Ovis aries: one gene and its partner. The protein of the gene in region 1 interacts with the protein of each later gene in a pairwise test. Links are inferred from orthologs where the notes say so. Each region holds a gene or a part of one and is shown on either strand. Other genes may lie near its edges. The genes, in order: TMEM218 and PCNA.

Region 1 (3,193 bases):
ACCTGTTTCACACACGGTGGTGTATGTATGTCAATCCCAACCTCCCAATTTGTCCTACTCTCTGCTTCCCCCCAAAACATAAATACAATGGAATATTATTACCCCTAAAAAGGAACAAAGGTGAGGCATCTGTAGAGACAAGGATGGACCCAGAGTCTGTCATACAGCATGAACTGAGTCAGAAAGAGAAAAACAAATATCGTATATTAACGCATATATGTGAAATCTAGAAAAATGATACAGATGAACCTATTTGCAGGGCAGGAATAGAGACACAGAGGTATGGACAGAGAATGGACAGTCTCCCTATTTAAGGTCAATGGATTAACAACTGTAATTCCATCTACAACCTTAATTCTCCTTTGTCATGCAATTTAACACATTCAGAGTTTCTGGAGATCAGGATGTGGACATTGTAGAGACATTATCCTATCAACCACAACCCTGCAGGTATTTGGAAATGTCTTCAGGTACTAGGTTCTGAAAGCTTCGGGAAGTTGCGATGTCCCTGGTCACTTGGTTTGTGTTCCTCCTCTATTAAGTCTGTAGATTAAACTGCTTTTTCCTGCCCAAACTTAGGCAGCACCCTTTGGATCTGTGGAAAACAGAGTTCCAGCAGTGAACGGTAGACAAGTGGGAAGAGCCAATATGAATGACAGGCCTCTGTCTGCAAAGACCAGCAGCTCTGGGGCCTCAAGTACAGCTGGTTGCCAGGCAGCCAACTGTACAAACTGGGACAAGTTTCCTTTCCTCTTAGTGTTTCAGGACCGCAGGTAAATGGCCATTTCTGCAGCCCTTGGATTGCTGGGTTATAAATGTTAGGGTTCAGAACTCCTCTGGTAAAAGTTTGAGAGTCCCGTTTTCATTTTGAAAATGACCCCTCCTGAGTTGAGCATGGGTTGATTGCGTGGGGGTTTGAATCTTGAGTATGTAGGGGATTATTATACTATTGTATTTTTATACATGTTTAAAGTTCTCCATAATGAAAAATTGACAGCCACAAAATAAGCCTTTCTGAGACCAAGCAAGCAAGGGTCTCATTCTTTCAGATAACTCATTTCAGAACAGAAAAGAACTTGCCTTCAGACTGTTTATGCATCTACATTAAGCCTATGTTTGTTCCCTGTACTTTATTAAGCCTTTTCATTAAGCTCCTCTTTATCTTGTATTTCTGGCTCAGCATGTTGAGAAAAAGGTTCTTATCCATTTGCAGGATGTTACTGGAAGTTCTGAATGTGGACAGATCCTGGGCCCATTCATCAGAGATTCCAGCTGAGCCCAGTCAAGGCGCAGACGTGTCAATAATTTCACTTTTAATGTTTCTTTCTCCAGATTGTAGATGCCTTTTTCATTGGCCGCTATGTCCTGCTGGCTTTCCTCACTGCCGCCTTCCTTGGAAGCCTTTTCTTGGTTCTAATCCATCACATCCTGGAGCCAATCTATGCCAAACCACTGCGGTCCTACTGAGTCGTCTTCAGGAAAACCAAGACCTTGTTCTCCCCCGCGCTTTGATGTCACTGGTGAGCAGCAAGGTACTGTTCAGAGCTTTGTGTTGACAGCCTTCCTGCCTTAAGATCAGAGGATCATCTCTTCATCACGAAGACAAATCCGTTGAGTCCTGGCTTCCAGAAACAGGATTGCAGAATTGCCCCCGAGGAAAGATTTCTCACCAGCTTAAGGGGGATATCACTGTCTTCTCAGCACCTGTACCTCAGGTTTTCCACCTCTTTTGAAAAGGAAATAGCAACAGCGATCTGCTTAGGTTTTTCAATCAAGACATCAGCAAGTGAATTTTGAGAAAAAGGGTACTTTAGCTTCACCTGTCCAACGGATGGAAGAACTTGGTCCTTTTTGATAATATGTGAAATACTTAATTTCAAGGTTAAGATCATTTGGGAAAGAAAGGCCCTCCAAGTTCAAAAGATTATTTTAATGTGGTGACTTGGAGACATATATCAGATGCCAGCTATGCAGCACTCTGCATGTCACACCACAGGGCTCCACAAAGGCCTTGGTGTCGCTTTCCGCTGCCTTGAGAAAGCAGTCAACAGCAGTCGGAGGACTGACTTTCACCTCGAACTCCTGGGCACAGCTTCCTGAAGCTAGCATTGCAATAGTTCAGGTTCATGGGGGGACTAGAGGCAGCGTTTGGAAACATCAGCTGTGTGTCCTGCGGCTCTCTCTAGGTTCTTCTCCCAGTATTTGGTGGTCTTTGTTCCTTTATTTAGTGTAAGTGTCCATGTTGAGTTACTGTCATCTCTTTCATCTTTGTAGCTCTTTCTCCAAAGCTGATAAGGAATGTCTATCCCCAGGCTTAGATAAAACTTTATACGTAAGTTCCCAGACCAAGTGAAATCTGTCATTAAATGGTGGGTGGGGGCGAGTAGCTCTAGGCTGTTTCTACTTTGGGAGTCTCAACCTGGCATCCAGAAACTATTTGAAGGACCTTCTGGCTGAAAATTAAGAACCAGAAAACAAGTTGGAAAAAGAACTTTGATAGAGTACATGCTGTGTGCCAGTAGTGCACAAGTCTTTTTTTCCCCCCCTCCACAAATGTAAATGACAAGCCTGTGTGTTAAGGGCAAAAATAAACTTTTGTACAAAGGGTATTTTAACTCGGCCTGCCTTCTGTAGATCCCATAACTACTGGCAGTGGTGAAGTGAATGATGGATCACTTTATATCTTTATGCTCAAAACAATCATGTCCAACCCTTAAGGAAAAAAAAAAAACAAAACACCCCACAGGAATGGGATAAGAAATAGAAGGCTGAGAGAGCACAAAATCACAAAATGAATTTCGCTAATTTCTATGGGGGGACCCCTGATAATCAGTGGTTAATATGGTACCCCTTGTGCTCAGGCCTTCCTGGAGACAGAGCTTAGAGGGTGTCCCTTAAATGCAAACAGAAATCATCTCAGGGTTGCCGTTCGTCGTTCTTTGATCAATGGCCTCAGCATAGGTTGTGCTACCCAGAGGGAATCCTGTGGCAAAGAAACTGGTGATCCCACTGTTTGGGAGGTGGGAGGAGAGCAAGTCAGGGCTTCTATGTAAGAAAACAGGTTATTTCAGTTCAGTTCAATTCAGTCACTCCGTTGTATCTGACTCTTTGTGACCCCATGGACTGCAGCATAGCCTCTTAAAATTGTATCCTGACCAAGACTACATCAGGACATTACCCTCCACTGATCCAC
Region 2 (3,923 bases), on another chromosome or scaffold:
TTTCTTGTGCTAATAAAATAATGGAGTATCTTACAATTGAAGGTATTTTAAAGTAAATTAAAGACACATCTAATAGAAATACTAGAGGGAGAGCATTGAGTAGGGAAAGGGAATTTTTGAAACCATAATGGTTGACAATATTCTAGATTTGATGAAATGCATCAATCTTTCGGCCGAGGAATACAAAAATTCCATGAACAGGATAAATAAAACCACATCCACACTATACATGATAGAAAGACTAAAGAATTCTACAGACCAAGGTAAAACACTAGAAGTAACTAAAAAGAAATGCTGTAAACAAAGGAAAAAAGAAACAAAGGGAGAATATTCATAATAGGGAGATGGTTAATATATGAAATGCTTTTAATCAATCAGAAAAAAGTTTAATAGAAAAAATATAAACATGCAATGGTCAAGAACTGTATGAAAGATATCCAATTTGCACCAGTCTTTTAATATGCAAATTGAAATTTCCACACAAACGAGCACAGATTTAAAAATTAGATTGCCAGTAACAGAAAAATTAGAGGCAAGGAGCATGCTCATAGTCTTGGCTGGAATGTAAATTACAATCTTTTAGAAGTCAACTTAGTTAACATTTATCAAAAATTTAATGCGTATGCTCCTCTATCCAACAATACTACTTCAAGGAGTTGCCCGAATTACAAGAGATTGGCAGTTAGGTTAGGTTACATTTGTAGGATATGATGCCATCTTTTTAAGAGGTGCTGATAAACAAAACATGAACCTGGCATAAAATTAAACATACTTTAGTAAGCACTTTGCTGAATTCTTTATGGCATGAACTCATTTTTGTTTTTTAAAAGATATATACTTGTAGAGGAAAAAAAACTTAGAAAGTTACATAGAATAAATGATATCAATTTGTGTGTAGGTGGCGGAGGAGCTTTAAGAGCTGGTAGTAGGGAGATAACTTTTCTTGTTTTTTTTAAATCATAACTGTACCTCCCTTCAAACAGCTAAAGAAAAGGTGGCTTTTCTTCCTAAAGAGTCAGACAAACCGATGCGACTGAGCACAGAGCCTGGATTTACGTTTCACTCAGGGCTGTAAATTTTCTACCCCTCACGCGGGAGGCTGATGAGGCAGCACAGCGTCGCAGCTCATCGACCATTCCCGCCCAGCCTAGGACTGATTTTCACACTCACAAGGACTCCTCTTACGGGTGCCGGAACATGACAAAACGGCCAAGACTCCAGCGCACGCCTATCTGCTGGGCCCCTGAAGCGCTGCGCTCCTGCCCCGCCCCCATACCTGCATCCTCCAATGGATGCTCGGGGTGGGGCGGCTTTCGTGCAGTGCAGGGACAGGATTGGCTTTACAGTCTCTCCGCCCAGGCAGCGGGAGGGCAGCGTGATGACGTATCAACAAGGGGCACGGAGACGTAGCGCGCGCTAGCAGACGCGGCAGTATTAAACGGCTGCAGGCGCGGCTAGCTGTTAGAGGCGTCTCAGGCGTTCGTAATCGTGTTTTGCCTCTCGCTCTCATCCTCTGAAGCCTAAGCCGGTTACACATTCCTCACTCCTTGTACCTGTAGCCGTGTCATTGCGACTCCGCCACCATGTTCGAGGCGCGCCTGGTCCAGGGCTCCATCTTGAAGAAAGTGCTGGAGGCGCTTAAGGATCTCATCAATGAGGCCTGCTGGGACATCAGCTCAAGTGGCGTGAACCTACAGAGCATGGACTCGTCTCATGTCTCCTTGGTGCAGCTAACCCTTCGCTCCGAGGGCTTCGACACTTACCGCTGCGACCGTAACTTGGCCATGGGCGTGAACCTCACCAGGTGAGCTCCAAAGCCTCGGACATCCGGGCCATGGTCCGCTCCTACCTCTGGCTCTTGGCGCGAGCTCCTACGAGCCGGGCCCTCATTGGCTGGCGTGGGCCATCTGCGTCTTCTCATTGGCCTGCTGCGGAGTTGGGCGGGTGGCGGGACCCAGCAGAGCGCGCGGTTTGCAAAGCCCGCGCTGGCTGCAGCGCGAACAGCGAACCGGCTGTTTTCCGCGCCAAAGTCACAAAGCGTGTGGTGGCGGGAAAATGATGGACTTTGCGGTTTCAGGAAAAGACTGTTGCAGAACGCTTTGGTCGTTAAGTGCAAGCAACTTGGATGAGAAACCTTGGTCCTGGTTGACTTAAAGTGCTTTATAGTGTATCCTAGTTCTGTCACACTATCTAGGGACCAGAGTATTTCTTTTATTACTGCAAAGTTGCGGTGAGCACCCTAAGATCCTGGACTTGAAAATTTTCTCCAGGGCAATGGCGTTCAATTTTTGAACTACACATGTTTAAATCTTAAAGCTTATGATAAATACCCATAGTACATGCCGTGTACTTTAATAGGTTTATTAGATCATTTTTAAAGATAGTTGGCCCGATAATTTACTTCACCCACTCGAAATTCATAAAATGTTGTTCTTTTATTTATATCCAGAAGTGAAATTGCTTTTGGTATGTTGTGGGCCTTTTGGGTTTATACTGCCAGATTGCATTCCAAAGTGTCTGGACCGGCTTGCATATCCCCCGTGCAGTACGTTTTCCTAACTCACCAATCTGACAGATGGCATACTGGTTAAGGGTTTCCCTGGTGGCTCACTGGTAAAGCATCACTTTGCCAATGCAGAAGATGAGGGTTCGATCCCTGGGTGGAAAAGATCCCCTGGGGAAAGAAATGGCAACCCACTCCAGTATTCTTGCCTGGGAAATCTCATGGACAGAGAGAGGACCCTGATAGGCTGCAGTCCAGGAGACACCACTTACGCTCTAAACAACTGCAACTAATGGTTAAAAGTGGTAACTCCTGATTTTAATTCCATTAGAAAACTAACGATCTTGAGAAGATGGTGTTTAAAAACCCTTTGTCTTCTCTGTTCTAGCATGTCCAAAATACTAAAATGTGCTGGCAATGAAGACATCATTACCTTAAGGGCTGAAGATAATGCGGACACCTTGGCACTAGTATTTGAAGCTCCAAGTAAGTCCACCCTTCTACTGAGTTATGGCAGAGGAAACTAAAATGCAGTGTATTTCCCAAGTCTGATGATTGTAAAATATACCTCTTAGTTGTAAATTTACGTGTTTTTCTTCAAATTTGCTTTCTTTTGGTAGATCAGGAAAAGGTTTCAGACTATGAAATGAAGTTAATGGATTTAGATGTTGAACAGCTTGGAATTCCAGTGAGTATCAAAAGTTTCTGATTGAGCATGCTGTACACAGTTATGATAGTTACATAACATATATTTATATAATAATTTAAAGCCTACTTCCTAATAGAACTTTTCTGTATATCTGCTCATGTATATTCCAGAGTAGGGTATTTAGACTGATATATTTGTCATTTTATTAAATTATGGTGTTCTACAGTGCTATGGTTTGAATTCATTGCTGCCAAGGACATATTTGCATTAACCTCTGCATCTTTTAAAAAAATTATTATTCCTAGAGTGCTTGATTTTTATTGAGATTTTAAAGCTATTTTAGCAGAAATTCATTATGGTTAGGTTTTATCAACATCAAAAGAAGATGTGTTCAGATGTTTACAATGCCTAACACGCTCTTGTTTTGGAAAGCAAACCTATTTGTGCTGTTACCATTTGTATGCCATATACTAATGTCTTCTTGATTTAGACCTCCTATAGAGTGATTAGCTGGAGGCTCTTGTTCCCTGGATAGTGCATTTACTTTTAAAAGTTTAAGTTCTAATTGGTTTCTTAGTATGATGATGATTATTCTTTTTTATATCTGCATTTTTTTTAGTAGAATGTTAAGAAATTGCACAATGAGTGATATTTCAGAGTAATCAGAAAATCTTGAATTGTGAGTTCTTGTTTAGATGTTGAATCTTCAGGAAGTGAGGGTGCCAAATCTTTCATTTCCATGACCTTTACATTTCTTTGTTTTATAGGAAC

The links.
Region 2: the proteins of TMEM218 (region 1) and PCNA interact in binary tests that used the Homo sapiens proteins (3 or more experiments, as listed by UniProt). The link is inferred for Ovis aries from reciprocal best matches to the Homo sapiens genes TMEM218 and PCNA.

What each region holds. Positions count from the first base shown.
Region 1 is NC_056074.1:25,984,534-25,987,726, reverse strand, and holds the end of TMEM218 (transmembrane protein 218), read left to right. Parts: intron 1-1,332; coding exon 1,333-1,467; 3' UTR 1,468-2,609; downstream 2,610-3,193. UniProt on the Homo sapiens protein: May be involved in ciliary biogenesis or function.
Region 2 is NC_056066.1:47,048,442-47,052,364, reverse strand, and holds the start of PCNA (proliferating cell nuclear antigen), read left to right. Parts: upstream 1-1,463; 5' UTR 1,464-1,583; coding exon 1,584-1,804; intron 1,805-2,891; coding exon 2,892-2,989; intron 2,990-3,123; coding exon 3,124-3,191; intron 3,192-3,919; coding exon 3,920-3,923. UniProt on the Homo sapiens protein: Auxiliary protein of DNA polymerase delta and epsilon, is involved in the control of eukaryotic DNA replication by increasing the polymerase's processibility during elongation of the leading strand.